Linked DNA regions of Arabidopsis thaliana. The protein of the gene in region 3 interacts with the protein of the main gene of each other region in a biochemical or structural test. Each region holds a gene or a part of one and is shown on either strand. Other genes may lie near its edges.

Region 1 (6,164 bases), on a different chromosome or scaffold from region 3:
TGTTTCGTTTAGTATATCTTTGACTCATGATATTTGACATTTGATTAAAAATCATGTTTGCCTTACATGCATAATATCTTAAATGCTTGTATCACATGTCTCTAACTACCACGAAAAACTTTGTGTATAAAAAATTCAAATCTTTAATTTTTGGACGACAAATTCATTAGCGTTACTAATTTCATTGTACCTATCAGTTTTATGACGATAATAATACAATTTATTTCGTCCCAAAAAAAATAATATTTATTTATTAAGTTAATAGGAAAATAGGTGTAAATATACAAATATGTATATGTAATATGCAATTAGAGAATATATGAAACACCACTATACTATCAACATTAATATTAGTAAGATGAGAAACATAAATTAGATGATTTGAGTCAATATTTTTCCCTAGTAATCTTAGTAATAGTTTTTTTTTTCTTTTATTTGCATAGTTCATATACATATTTGTATACATATATGTTGTGCAGATCTAAAATTTTTGTTTAATACCTATTTTGCACCTCTACCAAATAAATTGTGTTAGAATTTTAAAAAATTCATAATCACAACAAAATTTCTAACACTATTTAATTTGTTGATCATAAAAAATCTGAATTTTTATGCACAAAACGTTTCTTAATAGTCAAAACTAGTGATATAAGAAGTGCAATGCCAAGAATTATAGAGATTTGAAGCGAAATTTTAAAATGACATGATTATACATAACTTTTAAGTTCTAAACTATAATCATAATAAAAAAAATTAAGATATTAAATAGAGCGAACAGACGTTTAGGTTTTTTTCGGATTTACCATATTCATCAGATTAATCCATGCTGGATTGAGAAAAAGCCTCAAGCTTGGAACAACTACATGTAAATCATAACCTCGAGATATTTTAAGGCTTTCAATGTCCCAAAGAAAGTTATTTGGTGTCGAATCCATGAGTGAAAATTGAGCTTTTCACATAGAACAAAGAGGGATATGAAATAGTACAATTTTATGTTTTAAATAAAGAAGATAAAATGAAAGGTAAATTTTATAGGTTTAGCCAGCAGAGAACAAATGAAATGAATGTTTTAAGTTTAGACACCAAGAACAAACTTAGGGTTCAAGTCTAAGCTTAGTCATATACTTCTGAACAATATTGGACTTTATTGTTCAAGTATTAAACAAACATTGAAATCTTCTTAAATCACTTTTCAAAATGCAACGAGGATCTATTCTTTTTTTTTTTTTCAGAAGAAGCTACAAGAAAGAACAACAAGTTTGGATATGAATTATAAAGTTAGTAATCCATGTAAGAGACGCTTATATTAATTAATTTATACTGTTAATTATTTCATCCGTAATTTTTATTATTATTCAATAAAGTATTTATTTTACTGAATTAAAAAATAATAATTATGGGTGTTTGGATATTCGGTCGGGTATTTTGGGTTTGAGTTTTTCGGGTTTAGAATTTTAAGATCCGTTCGAGTAATTCAAGATTCCGGGTCGGGTTTGGTTCGGTTTCGGGTTTAGTTATATATTGAAATATCAAAATTTTGTGTCCGAATCTATTAAATTATTTGAAAATTTCAAAAATTCCCTAAACAACCCGAGTAGTTTTGCTTGAATATATTTAAAAATACATAAAAGTAACTAAAATATCCGAAAAATCATAATATTGTCTATATGTAAATATAAATATAAATATTTTAGTTATATTTATATTTAAGATATGTTTGGGTACCAGTTCGGGTTCGGGTTTTTCAGGTTTTGAAGTTTAGATTCAGTCGGATATTTGAAAATTTCAGGTTCGAATTTAGATTGGGATTTTTGGATTGGGATTTTTGGATCGGGTTCAGATCGGTTTTTTCGGATTCAGGTATTATGTCCAAAGTAAAAATGGTAAACGGTGGTTGTTTTGTTTGTATTTGTAAAGCAGAAGAGAGAGAGATATAGAGACACTGAAAGCAAAGACCAAAAAAGAAAAATTAAAAAGAGAGAGAGGAAAATGGAGAGCGACGAAGCAGCAGCAGTGTCTCCTCAAGCAACGACACCGAGCGGAGGAACCGGAGCTTCTGGGCCGAAGAAGAGAGGTCGGAAACCTAAAACCAAGGAAGATTCTCAGACGCCGTCGTCTCAGCAACAGAGCGATGTTAAAATGAAAGAAAGTGGGAAGAAAACGCAGCAGTCGCCGAGTGTTGACGAGAAGTACTCTCAGTGGAAAGGTCTCGTCCCCATTCTCTACGACTGGCTCGCTAACCATAACCTCGTCTGGCCTTCACTCTCTTGCAGGTCTCCCCCTTTCTCCTTTCCTCTCCTTCTAGGGTTTCGTTTCGTAATCGTTTCTTAGCTTTGAACATTCTCATGTTTGGAATGAATTTAGTAAAATCTTACACATACATTTTCTCGATTTCTGGGTTTAAGTGAGATTGTTGCGATTGTTCTAGTTAGGGTTTTGGATGTGGCTCTGTCTTCATACCTTGATATATCTGATGTTCTATTCATGAATTGTTACTATTGATTACCTTGTTGGTTACTAATGACTAAGAGGAATTTTCAGTTTCTCTGAGTGTTTATATCTGATGAAGTCTTTAGTTGTTGTGCTAAGAGTTTCCATTTGGTGAATTGTTGTTTGATTTTTTTATAGATGGGGTCCGCAGCTTGAGCAAGCAACCTACAAGAATCGCCAGCGTCTGTACCTCTCAGAGCAAGTAAGTTTTTAGCTTTCTCTTGTATCTTGTTGTCTCATCTTCTTTATATACTTCTCATCGTATTATTTGTATTTTTCTTGGTTGTGTCACCAGACTGATGGAAGTGTGCCCAATACTTTGGTCATAGCAAATTGTGAAGTTGTTAAGCCAAGGGTTGCTGCAGCAGAGCACATTTCTCAGGTATTATGTGGTTTAATACTAAGCTTGTGTCCTTTCCATATCCTACTCCACACTACAATTGGTTTCATGTTTGACACTTATATACTATCTTCTGAAAATGTGTTCTCAGTTCAATGAAGAAGCACGTTCTCCATTTGTGAAGAAGTACAAGACCATCATTCACCCTGGAGAGGTGTGAATTCTGCCCACTCTTGAGATATTTCTGTATTGACATTGTTCTTTTTAGTTCTATTTGGTTTGTTAATTGTATCTGCATCCCTGTTTCATCTGTCCATGAAGTTATTCGTTTGGCACGTTGGTGAAAGTAAATTTTGATGTGTATTCATTACTAATTTGCAATTGCAGGTTAACAGAATCAGGGAACTCCCACAGAATAGTAAGATTGTTGCTACTCACACCGACAGTCCTGATGTGAGTGCTGCTTCTATTTTGTTATGGTCATAGCAACTTGAAATATGTCGGTTTCATATTTCTGTATTTGGCAGTCAAAGAGCATCCTTTGTTCGGACATATGTCCAGTTTCAGAGTTATCTAAATACAATATGTTGATTTCAGGTTCTCATTTGGGATGTTGAAACCCAACCAAACCGTCATGCTGTGCTTGGAGCTGCAAATTCCCGTCCAGATTTGGTATGTCCACTTCTGAGAATGTTGTTTTATGCTTTATTCTTGTTTGTTTCTCATCATTGGAAGTGATAAATCTCTTTGATATCTTCTTAAATAGTGCTTCTTGTTTGCATCATCTGAATGAACCATTTTTCATGCAGATACTAACTGGGCACCAAGATAATGCTGAATTTGCTCTTGCCATGTGCCCAACGGAACCCTTTGTGCTCTCCGGAGGTTTGTGTTTCTGTAATTTGTAGAGTCCAATCCTGTGGTTTGCCAGTTTCTCATACAAAAGTTCTTCTCTTAGGCAAGGACAAGTCAGTTGTTTTGTGGAGTATCCAAGATCACATCACAACGATTGGGACAGATTCCAAATCATCTGGATCTATCATCAAACAGACTGGTGAAGGTACTGATAAGAATGAGAGTCCTACTGTTGGCCCACGAGGTGTATATCATGGCCATGAAGATACAGTTGAAGATGTGGCATTCAGCCCGACGAGGTAACTTCTTAGAACAGACTCCTTCTATTGATATCGTGTTTGTTTATGCATACTGCAGATATTTTCATGATTTTCTAATAATACTTCTGGTGAACTTTTATACCGTGAAGTGCACAAGAATTCTGCAGTGTTGGTGATGATTCTTGCCTTATACTATGGGATGCGAGAACTGGCACAAACCCTGTCACGAAGGTACTCTATCTTTTGAATCCTATCAAAAGTTTGAAGATTTACCTCCTTTTGATATTATATCTTACTTTTTTGTTTTCCAGGTTGAAAAAGCGCATGATGCTGATCTTCATTGTGTTGATTGGAATCCTCATGACGACAATCTGATCCTGACAGGGTATGGAGAAATACATACAAATAGATGATTAATACATACTTAGTATCTAATTAAGAAATTGATGAATATTTCAGGTCAGCAGACAACACTGTCCGGTTGTTTGATCGTAGGAAGCTTACCGCTAATGGAGTTGGTTCGCCTATTTACAAATTTGAGGGACACAAAGCTGCTGTTCTTTGTGTTCAGGTATAATCAACTTTTTTTTTTTTTTTCCTTCTTTGTATGAAGTATATCTCTTAACCCACTGACACTATCTTGTTATTCAATTCAGTGGTCTCCTGATAAGTCATCCGTCTTTGGGAGCTCTGCAGAAGATGGTCTCTTGAACATCTGGGATTATGACAGGGTGTGTACATAGTTCACTCAGATGTCTAAAATTAATCTTTCTTCACTATCATCACTGAAACATATTCATTGTACTCATGTTTGGTTTGTTTAATTAACCATCAGGTCAGTAAGAAGTCTGATCGTGCAGCTAAAAGCCCCGCTGGGCTCTTCTTCCAGCATGCTGGTCACAGGTTCTTAAAGACTTATCTTGATTTTTCTTGATTGCTTTCTCATTTTACTTGCTTCTAAGTTCCCTTGTTTATAAACCATATTAGGGACAAAGTTGTTGATTTCCACTGGAATGCTTCAGACCCTTGGACTATTGTCAGTGTTTCTGATGACTGTGAGACTACTGGTGGAGGTGGAACATTGCAGGTAACCTTGAAATCTTTCTTGGTACCTTGATAAGCAATTTTATTGACATACCGTTAAATGTTGTTTATACTTTCTTCTATGGCAGATATGGCGGATGAGTGACTTGATTTACAGACCAGAAGAAGAAGTCGTGGCAGAATTGGAGAAGTTCAAGTCGCATGTTATGACTTGTGCCTCCAAGCCTTAAGAGTAAAGAAAACCCATTGTCTATCTATCTATCGCCTATGGTAAACTAATGCGGGTTTTAGCGAGGAGTCTTGGTTTTTGTAAGGCTGGTTTGTCTTTTGAGATATTGGTGGTAGCTTTTAGGACCTTTCCATATCAGTTAGGGGTACATGGTTCTGGTTCATGATCCTGTTTCATCAGACTCTTAGGTGCTGTTTTGTTCAACTGAGATGTTAATCAAATCGGACCAACTTTATGTGTTTTGGTTTAAGGTTTCAATACTTGGCCTGAACCTAATGATTCCTTCTCTGTAACTAGTCGAGACCAACCCGGCTACAAAAAAAATAGTTGCATTGATGTTCAAATGCAAAGCAGAAGGGGTCATTATAAAACAATATAGTAATAAGCATCGCAAAATTTGGAAACTGGGTTCTTGATGATTCGTCGCATCTTAAATAATGTTTGCATTGTCGTTTTCATTAGAAAAAAACTGTTAATCACGCTTAGCAGTAGGATTAGGTGATTTTCAATTCACAGATTTATTCGTAGGATTTTGAAGAAATTTTAAGTATTAACAGTCACTAAACAATCAGACCATTGCAAATCATACATAGATCACCTGGTCATTTCATAAAACTAAACTATATGATAATGTTTTACTTTATTGGGCTTAACGTTAATGGTCCTCCCGCTTAATAGGCTTTATGAAGTCTCTTGATGAGCTAGAGACTTTAAAAATCCAATCACAAAGCCTACATGAGACCGTCAAGATCAGTCAGAGAAGATCAAACGAAGAAGTTTTTGTTCCAAAAGATACTAAAGAGAGAAACATGAATCAATGTATTGCTTGAGGAATAAGGTAGGGAAGCTAATCAATCACAAGTAGACGAATCGGAGTATTTCATAAAATTAGGGTTTTTAGACCTACATTTTCTTTTCTTTTTCCGACGATACTTAAATTGCTCGA
Region 2 (7,498 bases), on a different chromosome or scaffold from region 3:
AACGAGACAATAAGCATTTGTGAGTTTGGAAAAGACACCAATTTCGCAATTATTGTTATCATATTGAAGACCTGCCAAAAACAAGAACAGAAAAAAAAAGAACAATCCTGTAAGCAACTTGAAAAGAAAGCATCGTATAAAAAGCTAAAGCTTAAGGGAAACTCACGAGTCGCCATGATATGGATCCAACAAACACCTGCGGAATTAAGTAACACGAAAACCTAATATGAGATTATGAATTTCAATACAGATCCAAGGCAGAAACAGAGAATGAAAGATTTAGGTTTTCGGATCATTGGTTATGCTATATTGAAAGATTTAGTTTTAAGGTTTACCTTGTCGACAAATCGGAACAAAAAGTGACGGAACGATAGGAAGAGACCCTATTCTCTCTTCCGAAAACCCTATTTATATATCAGAAACTTGGAACAAGCTTATGCTACTTATTTCCATTTATTAGTTTTGGTAAATAATAAAAAAGTTAAAAATTAAAATTTTGAGAGGAAATTGTGAATGTAAAAAGAAAATGATTTAATCTCAATGTGTTGTTATAACTTCTACGATTCAACAATCAGCTGCACCAATATAAGAAATTAAACATACTCATAATAATAATATCACTCCGCTCATCACAATGATATCTTTAAAATAACTGTCCAAAAAAGGTAGACTAGAGAAGAAATACACAAAATTCAGCACAAAAAATAACAGGAGAACAACGCTCACTGTAACAGTCTCTCTCCCCTCTTTACACAACTTGCTCTACCTCTCTCTCTCTTTCTCTATGCTTTAAACATAATTGATGATGGTCTTTTCGAGTGTTTGTTTCATTTCATCTTGCTGCGAATCTACGTCTCCTCCTTCCCTTCACCGGCATGGAACCAAAACTAGTCAGTTCATCTTCGTCATCGCTTGTTTCATCTGACCGCCATCTCAATCCACCACTGTTATTTCTGCTCTCCGTGGCCAAGACATTGTTGTTGTTGTCCTTTAAGCTGCAATTCATAATACACACAATTGATATGTAGCTCATCCAATATAAGACTAAAAGCCGTGGACATAAGAACCAAACAAAGTTCCTTAGACTGAAACCAAACTGGACTTTATTTTCAAACCAAACGGTAACAATAGTTTTATACCAAACAATACCAGTGTCCTCTACTTTAATGGCACGATTCAGAAAGGAACAAATGGCTAAGAGATAAAGAAGAGAGGAATACCTCGAAGACATGTCCATTGGATCATCCAAATCAACAAAGTTATCTTTGTCTGGTTGCATCCTTGTGCCAAAAAAGGTGGATTCCGGTTTCTGTGAAGATCCATTGAGATGGTTGCTGCTAGATTTCACTGTCACGGGATTGTTAGCTGTGATTCGGCGGAGATAAGGAGAGCTCATATTATTCTCTATGTATCTATCAACATTTACTTCTGGAGAGGATTCTTCAGTCCTTTTCCCTTGGAGCTGGCTGTTCCCACGAGCTCTATTTAGATCTTTGAACGGAGTTGACATTTCACCGAATTTCAGATTCTTGGTTACGCTTCTAACTTCACTCTTTTGTCCTCTATTTGCGTTTGTAAATAACCTTCCATGTGAAAGATCATGGGACGCGTTTCCTATCATATGACCAGGTTGAAAAGGACTGCCATTATTAGCCACTGGCTCTCTAGCTCTGGCATTGTTAGCACTTTGGAGAAAAACGGAATTAGTAGTGGCAAAGGGAACTGAAGAAGTAATCATGTCAGGTGCATCAGGAAGATCAGATTTTTTTGCTCCTTCAGAGGCATCTTCCATCTCAGAAAATTGTCCAGATCTAACTTGCTGCTGCTGAATTACTGGAAGTATATCTATGGCTCTATCCTGTTTCAAAGGAGCAGAGACACGGGAGGTTTAAATGTCCAGTTAAAAAAAGCCAGTATCAAGTAATATTGTACATTCAAGTTTCAGAATACTAGACAATCCTGCAAGCATCAACAGGTTATTAAGCACTAAAACGCAAATGTGAGGATGTAGCCTTTAACAAGGAACTATGGAAGGATCCACTTGTACATGGAAAGTTGGCTGAAATACTTACAACTAACTCTTTTCTCCAATGACTCTGTGATCGCATTCTGAACATAACTTCTTCCCCAATTTGATTGTCGGATACGAAAGCCTCTTCGATTTTCTGAAGCCTAAGATCGACTTGGTATGCCTGGATGTAACGGTAGCGCTGCAGCAATGTGAACAACCAGTAATTTCTAGTCAAAGAAAGACCATATACAAAAGATAATAACTTTCCAGAAAATAAGCATGGTCTATAGTGATGCAGTTTCCCTGGTTGTTCAAATAATTTCATGCTTGTTAACCAACATCCCAGACTACACCAAGCTCGAATTATAAAAGATTGTTGAAGCCACACATCAAATACGAGAACATATACCAGTCTCTATAGAATGAGCTAATTCTATACAGAGCCATCATTGAGATCCCTTATTAAAATTTTCAATATGTAGCTTAAAGCTCGGGAGGTTTAAGCTGCTGTCTAAATATCTATTTGCCTGTTGCTAAAGCTATTCTCGTTCTGAAAAACAATTCTCAGCCCATTGTTCAAGTGAAGTTATTTAAAGTTTGAAAATATAATTACTTACCTGAAGATAAAAGACAACCAAGAGACTACCCACAGCTGATGAGGGGTCATCAGTTGCCGAATCTAATAAGCATCTGTGCAGATATTTCTCCTCATCTGGGTTCCACGGTAACTCAATGATTCGATCAACCAAGTTTCTCCGAATAGAAAGACAGCAGAATTCATTGACAAGTATCTCCATCCATTCCGTCCAACTCCAGATGTCTAGATCATCAGACGCATGTTTCACAGCTCCATTTTTCAAATTATTTTCCTTTACTTTCAAGCAGAGTGTCCTTTGGTATGTGAATGCTTCACTCAAAAGACCACATTCCACTCTCACACGAAGAGCTGTGACAGCTTCACCAATTGAAACCAATTCTGATACACCATCACGACCAGACCAACGCAAGACCATAAGAGCTGTTTCAGGGTTATCCCTTTCTAACAGGACTTGCGCAACTTTGGGGTAGGTTTCTGGACCGCATATTTCAGGTAGAATCCTACAAGCTTCCTGAAATATAATTTGGAAAGTTTGTAAGCTACACCAATTAATAAATGTATGGCACAATAAAATACACGTTTCTATAAGTTTTCCTTGGGAATGCCAAAAGATACCTGGAGTGCCTCCTCTGAGTGATCATCGAGAAGATAAAATACAAAAGACTCCAGCAATGAATGCCTCGTTATGCCAAACGTAGCAGCAAAATCATCTATAGTGTGCTTCCAATATTTTTCAGGGGTAGTCCAATGCCGATCAAACAGGTAGTAAAGAAACTATCTTCTGGTTAAGGAAACCAGCGTAAAGGAAAAACATGGGAATGTTTCCTGATTCAAGTATTCATTAAAAGTAAAGTGCAATGTAATGTGAAACTAGGCGATGACAAAAGGATACAATTGCTTGCTTCGCAACAACCAAATCTGAACCGCCATGTAAAAAGAGCATGTCAGCAGCAGTTCTAAGATTCTCAAATGGATAAGATCCTGAAGTTCCCTCTATTTTGGACCTAAGAAATGATCTCTTATCCTTCTGTAAACGTCCAACTTCTAGGTCGGCACCTATTTCCTGACTGTATTCTGGCTCTCTCTCAAGATTTTCTAAAGCATCCTCAATAAAGAGGGAAGCACTCTGTACACTGCAATCTGAAGACTGGTCTACAGCATCAGGCCATGCACGCTTAACTGCATTTGATTTTCTTTCCCCTACCAGTGCATTCCACGATGTGAAATTCGAATATCGAGACCTCACATCATCCAGAAATCCATGTCTGATGCACCAGACCATTATGTCCAAATGCTGAAATAAAATAAAAAGAATAGGGTAAGCACACGTAAGCTCAGTGATCTTGCACCAATAGCTAAAGAGCTGATCTATTTAAAACACTCTCTGGTCAGAAGCCATAAGGTTATACTCATTTACTATTCAGTATGTCATATAAAGATAGGTTACATATACCCCATCTACATTCACTAATATGCAATGACATTAAAAAAGAAAAGAAGAATAAAGTCACAAAGCTAGGGATAGAAAATCAGATCCAAGCTGATGATGGAAGACCATTATCGTGCCTTTCATACATCTAAATGCAAAGCTTTTACAGTACAAACTTTACTGCAAGCCGTATACAAAACAAGTAACTCATTCTATGACAGAGGCAAACTAAACATTAATGCACGTAGGAAACTTCAATGTACAACGGATATTTCTAAGGGGGATAAAGAGAGTTATTTAAGCATACTTTTGCAAAACTGTTTGGATATCAATGAAATGAAATCATGGCTGACCTGCTTTGTTTTACCAATGTTCTCTCTCAGCGTCTGCACATCTTGAAGCTGAGGTGACACAGAACCCTTAAAAGCTGATTCCATAACTTCGAGCACACTACATATGCCAGCCACCTGTTTGGAACACCTTAGGAGTTTATCTAACCACGCTTGCATCTCTTTTGTTTCAAGATTATCTGAGGGCCAATATTAAAGATAGACAGACCTTACGGTGCACAAATATACAGTCTTAAGAAACATAAAAATATTAACAGCTAAAAGGATACAGATTTCTTGAAGTTCAGCTAAGGTGCTCCGGAATGTACGCTTGACCCAATCCTTGACAACAACTTCATCCAGCAAGAAAGCAATGACCGGATCACTAGATACAGCTGTCTCATCCATACAGACATTGGTGATATCTATTAATTTTCTGTCAAGGAGATGTCAACTATGCATCCAACATAAAATACCTCTTAGAGAATGAATGACAAAAACACTATGCACATTTCGCCCAACAGAGACAAGCATGAAACAAGAACTACCTAAAAATACATGAACCTATCAGTACAAAACTCCCCATATAAACACAGTTCCTAATAGCACAAGCATACGAATCTAAAAGAAATTCATGAAAGTATCAAACAGGAAACTAAAAGACTAAATGCATATATCAGACACCAAGCATAAATGCAACTGAAGGATACAATGGCAAACCACCGAGATCAAATTATTGTTCATAGCAACATCAAACAGAGAATAAAGGCGATGAACATCAGCTGCCAATTGATGTTCATCCTCATCCGAATCCTGTGACGCCTCTTCATGTGTTCGGGAAATCAAACCAGCTTCAACACACTCATAATAGAGACGAAGCCTAAGTCTATCTCCAAATTTTGGTAGCGTACTTCTACAGATAGGACAAACATCACACCTCTGACAACACTCTGTGCACAAGGAGGCATGACCACATGGATTCAACACATAGTTCACAAATCTTCCACAGCTAGCTAAGTCTCTTGTTGCACGACATCGCTCAACTTTTGCCTCATTACATAATTCTCTGAGGTTTATAGATGCCAAATGTTTCAACGCCTCCTGTAAGTTACAAACAATAAATTCGAAATTAACTCTAAGCTCTGCAAAACCCATTTTTTTAAGCTGAACCTAGAAATCCTAAGACCTGAGCTAAACTAATTCAGTGGAGAAATAAAAAGGTATAAAGCGGAAGAACCTGAACAGGCTTGCTACTGTAATTAGGCTGCGTAGGAAGAGATATCGATCTCGCGGCGGAGGCAAAACCGTTGATTTCTCTCGTATCCATCTACTCCGGTGACGAATACAAAAATGGAGGTAAAGAGAGAAAAAGCGTGGTTGGTGTTGGCGAGAGTGATAAAACCAGTCTAGGGCTCCGTTGAGCTTTCTCGGGAGGGAAGACGAAGAGAGGAAACACTGTTGAGTGAATTTCTCCTCAAACGGGTCAAGTCGGATTGTTTAATTCGGGTCAAATTTTAAATATGGGCCTTTCTTTTTGAAGTCTTGTGTGAATCTTGTGATTGTCTGGGCCCAAGTCGGCAAATCACGATTCGGGTCAAAATTTAAATATGGGCCTTTGTTTTTGAAGTCTTGTGTGAATCTTGTGATTGTCTGGGCCCAAGTCGGCAAATCACGTGTCCGAAAGTGAACAGCGCGTGTTTTACCGACTTGCTAAGAAAGCGCGTGGATCGTTCTTTCTTTAGTTTCTCTTCCTTTCCCAATTGCTTCCACGACGACGGAGGAGGAGAAGCAAACCCAGAAACCTTAAAAATTCAGAAAAAGGGACGACCTTTTTTCCGATCTTATCGATTTTTGAATGAGATTAGAAGAACCTATCTTCTAAGTTTTTCTTTGATATCTTTTTCTCTTTGATCGATGGATGAGTCGTTCGCTAATCTACAATCAAGCCATTTGCTTGGTTCAGTTCCGGTAAGTCTATATTACATCTATTGCTTCTTTCATTTCACCATCAATAAGCTCTTTGATTGAGTTTTTCTATGATCCTTGTTTGTGTGAAGGGAAAATTAACGTTTTTTGTTCATGCCATCATTTTGTTTGTTGTTCTGTCTCAAGTGTTACATTAGGAAGTAGAATTTTGAAACTTTTCAGATTTTTTTGTCATATTTTTTCGCGTCCACGATGATGCCTAAAGTCTTCACACTCATAGAACAATGGACGATTTCCTTATTTGCATTTCTGGGTTTCTATATTTGTTAAGGCGTTTTATTTAAGTTTTTTCACCATTTTAGGAGACAATTCGTATGAAAAACAAAACTGTATTTGAGTTTAAATGCTTGCATGATAGCTTCATTTTGGATTGAATCCGCTAAGATAAATGTTTTGAGTGAATGGATTGACTATCCCCGTGTTATTATGTCTGATACAAACATCTGTATTCTTAGGCTGTGATCAGCGACGACAAGAGAAGCACAAATGTACCAATAGCAAGCGTCAATGAAGGTGTGTTCTTTTGCTAGTTTCTGCTTGAATTATCTTTTGCAAAGAACTTTTCCGGTAGTGAAAGACATTGAGTGTTGTATGTCTTCTGCATTATTGCAGGCCCTTCTGCAAGCATGCAAATATTTCCACCGAATCTAGGAAACAATACAAAGGGTTATCAAACTCTTGAGAGCCCAACAGGTATATATGCTCCTTTTAGATTCCTTTTTTAGGAGATATTTTTATCTGTAGTCACCATGAATCAGTACAATGGTTGAAAGAATACTTGTGTGAGTCAACCTCGTTTTTCTTATGGATGTCAAGATCCTATATACCTTTGTTTTCACCTTGTTCTGTCTTATATGGTGATATATCTTATCTGCTCCAGTAGAAGGACCAGCACAACAGCCATCAAACAACTGGAAGGGCTTTTTTAATGTCTACTCATATACCCAATACTTCGACGTGGACACGGACGTTGTTTTGAACAGATTAATGAGCTCTTTATATCCTACTAGTGGAGATTTTTTCAACAAGATTGATGCAAACCCTGATTTGTAAGTCTTTTAATGCCTTTTTCTCCTTCACTCTTCTTGGTGATTGTACTTACCATGAGAGAGTTCTTTCGAATTTCTTTAATCGGTCCATTGCTC
Region 3 (5,222 bases):
ATAAAGCTCAAGAATCAATCTAGCTGTTGAACCAGCTCCGAATCCGAGAATACCAATTGGTCCGGGAGGTATAATCGGAGGCAGAGTAGCGAAAACGTCGAAGTAACTATCGGTTAAGGTTTTAAGAAGGAAAGAGATGCTATGGATGTTACCGGGATTATCGAGAAGGAGGAGACGAGAACCAGCGAGTGGGTGATTGGTTTTTCGTGAAACTTCGATGACTCTGATGTAATTGTGACGGGATTTGAATTTGGCGATGGTTTTGACGTCCTCTGCTGGGATTCCGTTATCGTCGGCGGAAGTTTTGTTGCGGTGAGAGTCGGTTCGGATAAAGATTGGATTTTGCGGAGGTTTTGGCCGGAGATTGAGAGTTAAAGGAGGAGAAGAGAGGTTTAGAAATTGACGAGAAATGTGAAGTGGAGGTCGGAGGTATTGAAGAGACACAAGCTCCCTGGCCATGCCTGTTCTTAGTTACCGGGAAAATTTCGATGAATTTGGGTGATGATGAGACTTCAGTGGTTTGTTTAAATCCGTTCGGTTTAGTAACAGCTTCAATGGTTTAATTTTAGGGTCTATTGCAATCGGTTTTCTTCGGTTTGGTAACAACAACTTCGGAGAAAGTAAAAAAAAAAGAAGAAGTAAAAGCCCATATTTTTTTTAAAAAGTTTCTTTGCATTTTTCACATATTCTGATTTTCTAACTTGGGCCAAAATACTAGTCAGTTGTCACTGTTCTAATCAATGCAGCGTTTTCACAGAACTCAAAAGGTTGCTGAAAAAACATCAAAGAATCATTCATTCCCCTAACTTGTTTCTTAAATCTGCCGACATTATCATATGGCAAAAGAGACACCAAACCATCAAGCTGGTTTAAGACGATGGAGGATTCACGTCTGGCTCTGGGTTATCGTCATCCATTTCATCTTCACCGGTAGAGTCCCTGTAGATTTTAAGAGACATCAATTAAATTATTTATCTCCTGTTAAGAAGTTAGACAATGAGGATCAATTCAAGTGTTGGTAGATTTGAGTAGGAGGAAGGTTTTTAATTACCTGTCCGTAGTTGCGCCACCACGACATGAGTAACCATGAAGAGGTTTATCATCATCGTCACTGTCTGATTCATAAGTCGCAGTTCCACTCCAGATGCGAGGTTTTGGTCTTGTCTCCATGTCATCTTCCGGCTAAGGATTTGAGATAGCAGATTTAATAAGTTGGTAGTCAATAGGACAGAACGCAACTAAAAACATCAAAGAGAGAAATGGATGACTGAAAAATTACCTCGTCCAAAACTCGATTGACTGGTGGTGTGTGCTGAAACTGGACGCTAGGTGCGTGTATTAGTCCCGAAAGTTGTTCCAGCAACGTGTTCCTGAAATTTCAAAAAGTAACTTTCTCTAAGTTCAATATATCCCATTGACAAGGCTAAGAAGGTAAGCTACTGAACATGTAAAGCTTTCGTTAACTATTTGGAACCGGCACAAAGATAAACTCATATGTTACATACAGAATTACAATCTCGAGGGAGCATCATTAGCATGTTAAAATTACTAAATTAGAGTGGACTAGCTAGAAGTTCAGTGGCAACTGAAGTACAATGACCATAAAAATGGAAAGTAGGAGATATTACCTTATCCTCTCCATATCTTTGGGCGTGTTTAAATTCTCCATAGGACTTGGGTCGACATGAAGCGTATAATCTGGGCCGAAATACTCAAAATACTCATTGTAAGGGAGTTTGTTGTCCGGCTCTACTCCAACAGCAACTGCAGTCTGCGATGAGGCAACAGAAACAAACACTTTCAAGAACAAAAACCTATATGATTATCAAAAAACATAGAAGAACTGCAAAGGAGATGGAAAAGACCTCATAACACCAGCAACGGGCAACATTTCGAATAGTATACCCTCCACCACCCAACACCATGAGAGGAACGTTGTAAGATCTTAAGAACCGAAGGCAATCAGCGTGACCCTTGACTGATAAGTTGAAGCAACCCAACCGATCACCACTTAAGGAGTCAGCACCACACTGAAGAACAACTGCCTCTGGCTGATACACTTCCATAACCTTCTGGATAAGAGGTCTAAACAAGCTGCGGAAACTTTCATCGTCCATACCATCGTTTAGTGGAACATTTAGAGCATAGTATTTCCCTTTTTCAGCGCCAACATCTCTTATGTGACCAGTTCCTGGGAAAAAGTCCCCAAATTTGTGGAAAGAAACAGTCATAACTCTATCAGTGGTGTAAAACGCTTCTTCCACTCCATCTCCATGGTGGACATCAATATCTATGTAGAGAACCCGCTGCAAACAAAATTTGATGAAAGCATTAAGATGTAAGCAATGGAAACATCGTTCCACACTCAATCAACATTTTGAATGATGCTATCAGAATACATTAACAAAGCAACGGAATCCTAATTAGAGAAACTTAAAGAACCAGACGATGAAAACAAAGAGGCAATGTAGAAAACCATTCTCAAACAAATCAACATCCTTATCAGAAACACCTGATGCACTTGACCTAACATGAGATTCTAAAGGTAATATGCAGTTTAGGAACATGAAAGGATCAAAGCTCATTCGATAATCACACAAGGCTTCAAGGTTTCAGGTAGATTTAAGAAAAACCACTCAAGATAAGCTTAAACCCTAAAAATTTCAGAAGAACATGAAGAAGTTCTCTATGATGAGATCATAAAGAAGGAATGGAGCATTTACCTTAAACATCTTGAGCAACTCCAGAATCCCTAGCACGATGTCGTTTACATAGCAAAACCCAGAAGCCTCGCTTTTCTTAGCATGGTGAAGCCCACCGCCCCAATTGATAGCGATATCAGCGTCCTGTCTGTTTAATTTGACGGCAGCACCAATAGAACCTCCGGCGGAAGCACGGCAAAAATCAAAAAGTCCGTCGAAGACAGGACAATCCTCACCGACATTGAATCGCCTTAGGTTTCGTGCAGCGGAAGGATCGCCCATAGATTCCGGCGAAACGGAAGCGAGGAAGTCAACATACTCCGGCGAATGGAATCGGCCGATATCGGAGGCGTCAGCGAGGCTAGGGCGACTGATTTCTAAGCGACGGTGGAGGTGATAGTGAATGATTAGGCTATGAGCCATACGGATCCGGTGAGGCTTCATCGGGTGGCCTTGACCGTAGTAGTAGTCTCCGATCGTCGGCTCGTAGAAGTAACTGACTCGCCGCTTACGTCCGTCGGGTCCCGACGGCAGAGAGATGCCGCTTTCGTCTGCCTCCATCTCCGTCTCTCACTCAGAATCTCTCTCTCACTCAGAGTCTCTCTCTATTCCCAAGTTTTACTCAGAGCAAAATTTGTGTCAACAATGCCTGAGAAAGTCATTACTAGGAGTTGTGGGCACAGCTTATATATACACGCACATTAATGATTACTTACATTATTATCTTTGCGTTAAAAATTTAATTTTAATAATTACTGAATGTTAAACTAACGATCGATTATATAATTCCAAATTCGATTCAAACATAGCGAATTATTTTTAACTTGTTTTCCTAATGGTAGACAATGTTAGACAAATAAATGTAAAGGGTTTTTTAGCTAAGTATGATCTATTTACACATTTCACCTTAAGGATTCGTAACTAGATGTTGTTGGGAAAAAAGAGAAGATATACATGTTCTAGATGTTATAGATGCTTACATTTGTCTAAATTCTATTCGCAATACTTGAATCTCCCAACCTAATAATCCACATCCGATTTTTAAAAACAAGTTTCATTACAGTGTTACGGTTGACTTGAGAGTAAAGTAGTAAAGTGTATTTAGTTGATAGAATTAAGAAAAAGGCAAAATGTTTAGAAATATCATGAAGAAGAAGAAGAAGAAGCAGCGAAATCAGCTAAATAGTTATATAGTAAATGTTTGTTCTCTACGACAAAGAACTTCTAGTCGAAACCAAACGCTGATCATCATCATCATAATTAAAGGTTTTCTCATAGAATCAAAATGATGGGATTCTCTTTACCAAGTCCTCTTTCCACCGTGAGGTACAAAGTTTGAAGTCGATCTTGACCGTTTATCTCCAAACCCACCACCACGTCCTCCTCCTCTTGGCCTGAAGTTTCTTCCACCACCTGAACCTGAACAAATCAACAAAATTGAATCAGATCCTCGTACCAAAATTTAGCAAGATTGATTGAACTCATCAAATGAGAGAAGAGAAATGAGGTTTCACCTCCATAACCAGAACCAGATGATCGGACTAGTGCGGAGAGAGTAGGAGGTACAACTTGACCAGCTTCTTGAAGGATCTTGACAAGCTCTCTCGCAAACTTAGCATTGTCATGTGTGAAGAATGTAAAGGCCATTCCTTTAGCTCCTGCACGCCCGGTTCGACCAATCCTATGGATGTAATCCTCCAATGTATTTGGGAAATCATAATTAACCACACATTTAATGTCCTTCACATCTGTAAAACAAAACAAAAGAAGAAAGAAGGAACACAGTTGAGAAGTAAATCATAGACTGAGATGAAATGCAGGAAGAAGAACAGAAATTTCTTTGTGTAAATGAGTTTGGTGTTTAAAGCCTAGCTAAGGAGAGGATAGAGAACAAGAACCCCTTATCCCTACAACTGCAGATCTGGAAAGATCAAGAAACTAAGAGCAACACATTTTTCCCAAGTAAATGTGCCCACCTTAACTTGCAGGGATAAGGAGTGTTTGGGACGGCGTTATAACACTATTAATGCATGCAGGTGTCAGTCGCCCAGGCTGCTCAAAAACCAATCAGCTCCATGCCCGGGAGATGGATGCAGGAAACAAATTCTTCAAAGAAGCTCCTTTTTTCTTTCTATGTGCTTTTTTCCCTAATACCAGAGGAAACTGTGGAAAGCGGCAGCCAGGCGACTTTTTTTATTATCTTTAAAACCCCAAGAAAACGAAATGCTCTAAGTATAATCTCTCCTATTGTGTATCACAGTTAATCCTACCAAGTCCCCTTGCTGCTACATCAGTGGCAGTCATTATCGGGCTTCGTCCACTCTTAAATTCTGCCAAGACTCGGTCTCTTTCCGATTGGGTCTTGTCACCATGTATGGCAAGAGCTGGCCATCCGTCCATTCTCAATTGTCTAGTCACTTGATCACACCCTCTCTTTGTCTCCACAAAAATTAGGATTTTACTCCCATCCATTAACTGTTTAAGTAGTGTAAGGAGCCTATCAAACGAGAAAAAAGGCAT
Region 4 (3,181 bases), on a different chromosome or scaffold from region 3:
CCAACGATATTCGCAGGAGTTATGGTCATTGCTTCTGTTTCTTTATTACGATCATGTTTTGGTATTGAAGGTGTTGTAGAAGAAATCGAAGAACAATGTTGATGACATTTTCGTCATATCTATGGGTTATATGTATGTAATTGATATTAATTAATCAATAAGGGTCCTTAGCTCAGTGGTAGAGCAATTGACTGCAGATCAATAGGTCACCGGTTCGAATCCGGTAGGGCCCTTTCTTTTTTGTTTTAGAAACTGTTTTCTTGTTTATATTAACCGTTCATTTTATTTGATCTGACGGTGATGAATGTATCGTTACAAATATGTGTTGGATCGATGACGTGTCATTAGATTTCACAAAACTCTGAATAATTTTCACAACAAATTCTTACACTAGGGAATGCGAAAATGATTTTTTGCAAGAAATATTATAAGCCAATTAAGTGTATGAATCTTATATATAAAGCTAAGAACTTTAAAACGCTCACATTGAGTCCATATTTGTCATTCGATTCTTATACCTCTAAACTTTAAATTGCTCACATTTAGTCCTTATTTGTTTTTCAATCTTCAAAAACATAGTTCAATCAATTCCTTTGATTAGTTTTCGATTGATAATCCTTTACCATGAATTTCAGAGATTAAAGAGTAATTAGAGCAAATGGTACTTATCATTAATCCATTACAATGCTGCCCTAATTACAACACAAAACGAAACCCTAAAATTCAACCCAATTTCTGGAATTTCTTGATCGCAAGACTTAAATCATCATCATTCACCAGAAAACCCAGATCTCAAATTGATCAACCACCAAATCCATATAGAGTTCTTCCTTGTCTCTTCAAGGCATAAACAACATCCATAGCAGTCACCGTCTTCCTCCTCGCATGCTCAGTGTAAGTAACAGCATCTCTAATCACATTCTCCAGAAAAATCTTCAACACACCTCTCGTTTCTTCATAGATCAATCCACTGATTCTCTTCACACCTCCTCTACGAGCAAGACGACGAATCGCTGGCTTTGTGATTCCTTGAATGTTGTCTCTTAGAACCTTTCTGTGTCTCTTTGCTCCTCCTTTGCCTAACCCTTTTCCTCCTTTTCCTCTTCCTGACATTTTTGTTTTTCCAGAAAGTTTTAAGATTTGAGTTTTCTGATGAGTAGAGAAGAATTTATTTTTTATTTATAAAGAAGATTGTTTGGGTTAGAAAATGAATCGTGACCGTTCGTTTTATTGTTTGATCGGACGGTCAAAGATAACGATCCGTGAGAAAGGTTTATGAGATATATGGATCCTTGATTATTAATGAATCGACGGTTGTAGATTGGGTTATTATGTTAGTCACGGATTGTGGATTTTTGATTTTTCCTTTTGAACCAAGTGAGTCAACCGGACCGGTTATATGTACTAAATTACAATGGATATCGAAAATAATTAGTATAACTATGGAGTATATTTTACTTTTACTTTTCAGCTACCATAAAAAAAGGTAAATTCTCAGATCTCTTTTTTTACTATCCATATATTTTAAAAAATTTAAAAATTGTTTTTTTACATTATTATTATTTGGACAAGTTGAATGCACTTGGAAAAAAAAAAAAAACATATTCTACTATAAGGGTTTGAATCCAAATGTGGTATAGTGGATATGTTGAACATAACTCCATTGAATTAATAGAAACAATTACTGTGTACTAACCGTAAGAAGAGACGAGACTCTATTTTTGTTGGAATGTTCTGGTTTGAAGCATTTTTACAGGACAACGTAAGGATGTGTGCTTTAGCTAGAATGAAGCAATGTCGTTGTAAGGAGGTGACGATTATTATTCTAACTGAAAACCATATTGTTATAAAGCCCTTGAGCTCCAAAGCTCTTGTATATCTAGTCTTTTTGTTTTCTCCTTTTTTTCTATAACTCAAAAACTCCACTGATGGTAAATTACAAGGTGTTGTTCTTGCTGAAATGTACTAGGATCATATCGATCTCGAAAAACTCGTAAAACGTGTGTTCTTGATTTAATCTCCAAAGTGAATACCATGAGTGTTTGTCATAGAATTCTCAACAAGTTGAAGACTTATCTAAATCTTGAAGAATGAACTCAAAATTTCTGTTATAAGATTTCTTTCAACTACAAAATGATATGCAAAATATTGGTATTAGCTTCATACCATAACTAGACGCACAAATCTTGATGAAAGAAACTTGCAGCCAAGAAATTCCTTCATGAATCGCATTCAACACAAAGCTCATCAAAGATCAAAACTCTGCTCTTCTCCAATGGTTTTTTCTTGCAAAGTCAACTTGTTAAGGTATATTTGGATCGGTCCTTTACCAAAATGAAAGAAAAAAACTATTCCGCTGCCGGGTTTGAACCCAGATTTCATCATTGAAATAAACATGTGTGCTACAGCGGATTGGTTGAAAGTATCTCCAATTAACTAGTATATACCCTGTCTAATTAATACTCTCTACCTATCACGTGTTAAGACCGAACACATATTAAGAGAAAGAGAGGAGAGCCACTAGTTTTGTTTAAGTGTTCTCTTAACAATGTGTGTTCTTGATTCAATCTTTTAAAAAAATGGTGTGAGTGATATATAATGTGGTTCTTTGATTGTACCAATTGACATATACTAGATTCATAAATCAGAAACTCAAACAAATACTCAGATTAAACACCACTATTAACTATTATCCGTTAATTTGACAAAAGAGTTTTGACTATCCCAATTTTCACAAGATATATGACTCATTCTGTCAACTAAGCACAAATCATCGTAATAACATCTTAGTAACAACATGTTAGTCGTATTTGGAAGAGATAAGCACTATCTTGATGGATTTAGTTGGTCCCACACTAAATCCGGAAATTATACAATTAAATCCGGGTATTGGGCTGCGCGAGATTTGTCTCGTCCTACTTGTGACCTCCCTTTTTAGGGACCGAGTGTTTTTGCACTTCAGGCACAAGTATGGAAGCTTAAAACTACGCGAAACCTTATGCATTTTGCGTGGCAATGTATCACGGGGTGTCTAGCCACTTGTCAAAGACTTGTCTACCGACATATTGGCACAGATAAAGGATGTCCTCGTTGCGGAGCGGAAGAGGAGACTATTAATCACATCCTTTTTCATTGTCCGCATTCCAGACAGATTTGGGCATTGTCACCTATTCCCACTTCA

What was found.
Region 1: the proteins of HDA6 (region 3) and FVE form a complex in vitro, tested with the Arabidopsis thaliana proteins (2 studies listed by BioGRID).
Region 2: the proteins of HDA6 (region 3) and HOS1 form a complex in vitro, tested with the Arabidopsis thaliana proteins (one study listed by BioGRID).
Region 4: of the proteins of HDA6 (region 3) and HIS4, one has a biochemical effect on the other in vitro, tested with the Arabidopsis thaliana proteins (one study listed by BioGRID).

Annotation. Positions count from the first base shown.
Region 1 is NC_003071.7:8,454,017-8,460,180, forward strand, and holds FVE (Transducin family protein / WD-40 repeat family protein), read left to right. Parts: upstream 1-1,739; 5' UTR 1,740-1,989; coding exon 1,990-2,273; intron 2,274-2,628; coding exon 2,629-2,692; intron 2,693-2,785; coding exon 2,786-2,872; intron 2,873-2,981; coding exon 2,982-3,044; intron 3,045-3,217; coding exon 3,218-3,283; intron 3,284-3,427; coding exon 3,428-3,502; intron 3,503-3,639; coding exon 3,640-3,715; intron 3,716-3,788; coding exon 3,789-3,984; intron 3,985-4,094; coding exon 4,095-4,176; intron 4,177-4,256; coding exon 4,257-4,330; intron 4,331-4,404; coding exon 4,405-4,516; intron 4,517-4,601; coding exon 4,602-4,676; intron 4,677-4,780; coding exon 4,781-4,848; intron 4,849-4,932; coding exon 4,933-5,032; intron 5,033-5,117; coding exon 5,118-5,219; 3' UTR 5,220-5,626; downstream 5,627-6,164. UniProt on the Arabidopsis thaliana protein: Core histone-binding subunit that may target chromatin assembly factors, chromatin remodeling factors and histone deacetylases to their histone substrates in a manner that is regulated by nucleosomal DNA.
Region 2 is NC_003071.7:16,611,137-16,618,634, reverse strand, and holds HOS1 (ubiquitin-protein ligase), read right to left. Parts: upstream 5,859-7,498; 5' UTR 5,695-5,858; coding exon 5,605-5,694; intron 5,469-5,604; coding exon 5,078-5,468; intron 4,793-5,077; coding exon 4,658-4,792; intron 4,568-4,657; coding exon 4,392-4,567; intron 3,904-4,391; coding exon 3,502-3,903; intron 3,384-3,501; coding exon 3,225-3,383; intron 3,121-3,224; coding exon 2,629-3,120; intron 2,211-2,628; coding exon 2,073-2,210; intron 1,859-2,072; coding exon 1,221-1,858; intron 996-1,220; coding exon 833-995; 3' UTR 513-832; downstream 1-512. Other genes in the region: eIF6B (Translation initiation factor IF6), read right to left, coding at 1-71, 167-176; AT2G39805 (Integral membrane Yip1 family protein), read left to right, coding at 6,282-6,335, 6,809-6,866, 6,966-7,046, 7,234-7,402. UniProt on the Arabidopsis thaliana protein: E3 ubiquitin-protein ligase that mediates ubiquitination and subsequent proteasomal degradation of the transcription factor ICE1. Acts as a negative regulator of cold signaling pathways.
Region 3 is NC_003076.8:25,314,965-25,320,186, forward strand, and holds HDA6 (histone deacetylase 6), read right to left. Parts: upstream 3,384-5,222; 5' UTR 3,264-3,383; coding exon 2,724-3,263; intron 2,307-2,723; coding exon 1,866-2,306; intron 1,772-1,865; coding exon 1,629-1,771; intron 1,371-1,628; coding exon 1,280-1,370; intron 1,183-1,279; coding exon 1,052-1,182; intron 940-1,051; coding exon 870-939; 3' UTR 542-869; downstream 1-541. Other genes in the region: AT5G63100 (S-adenosyl-L-methionine-dependent methyltransferases superfamily protein), read right to left, coding at 1-459; AT5G63120 (P-loop containing nucleoside triphosphate hydrolases superfamily protein), read right to left, coding at 4,003-4,121, 4,217-4,450, 4,973-5,199. UniProt on the Arabidopsis thaliana protein: Responsible for the deacetylation of lysine residues on the N-terminal part of the core histones (H2A, H2B, H3 and H4). Might remove acetyl residues only from specific targets, such as rDNA repeats or complex transgenes.
Region 4 is NC_003071.7:12,328,842-12,332,022, forward strand, and holds HIS4 (histone H4), read right to left. Parts: upstream 1,219-3,181; 5' UTR 1,114-1,218; coding exon 802-1,113; 3' UTR 504-801; downstream 1-503. Other genes in the region: AT2G28725 (forkhead box protein G1), read left to right, coding at 1-102. UniProt on the Arabidopsis thaliana protein: Core component of nucleosome. Nucleosomes wrap and compact DNA into chromatin, limiting DNA accessibility to the cellular machineries which require DNA as a template.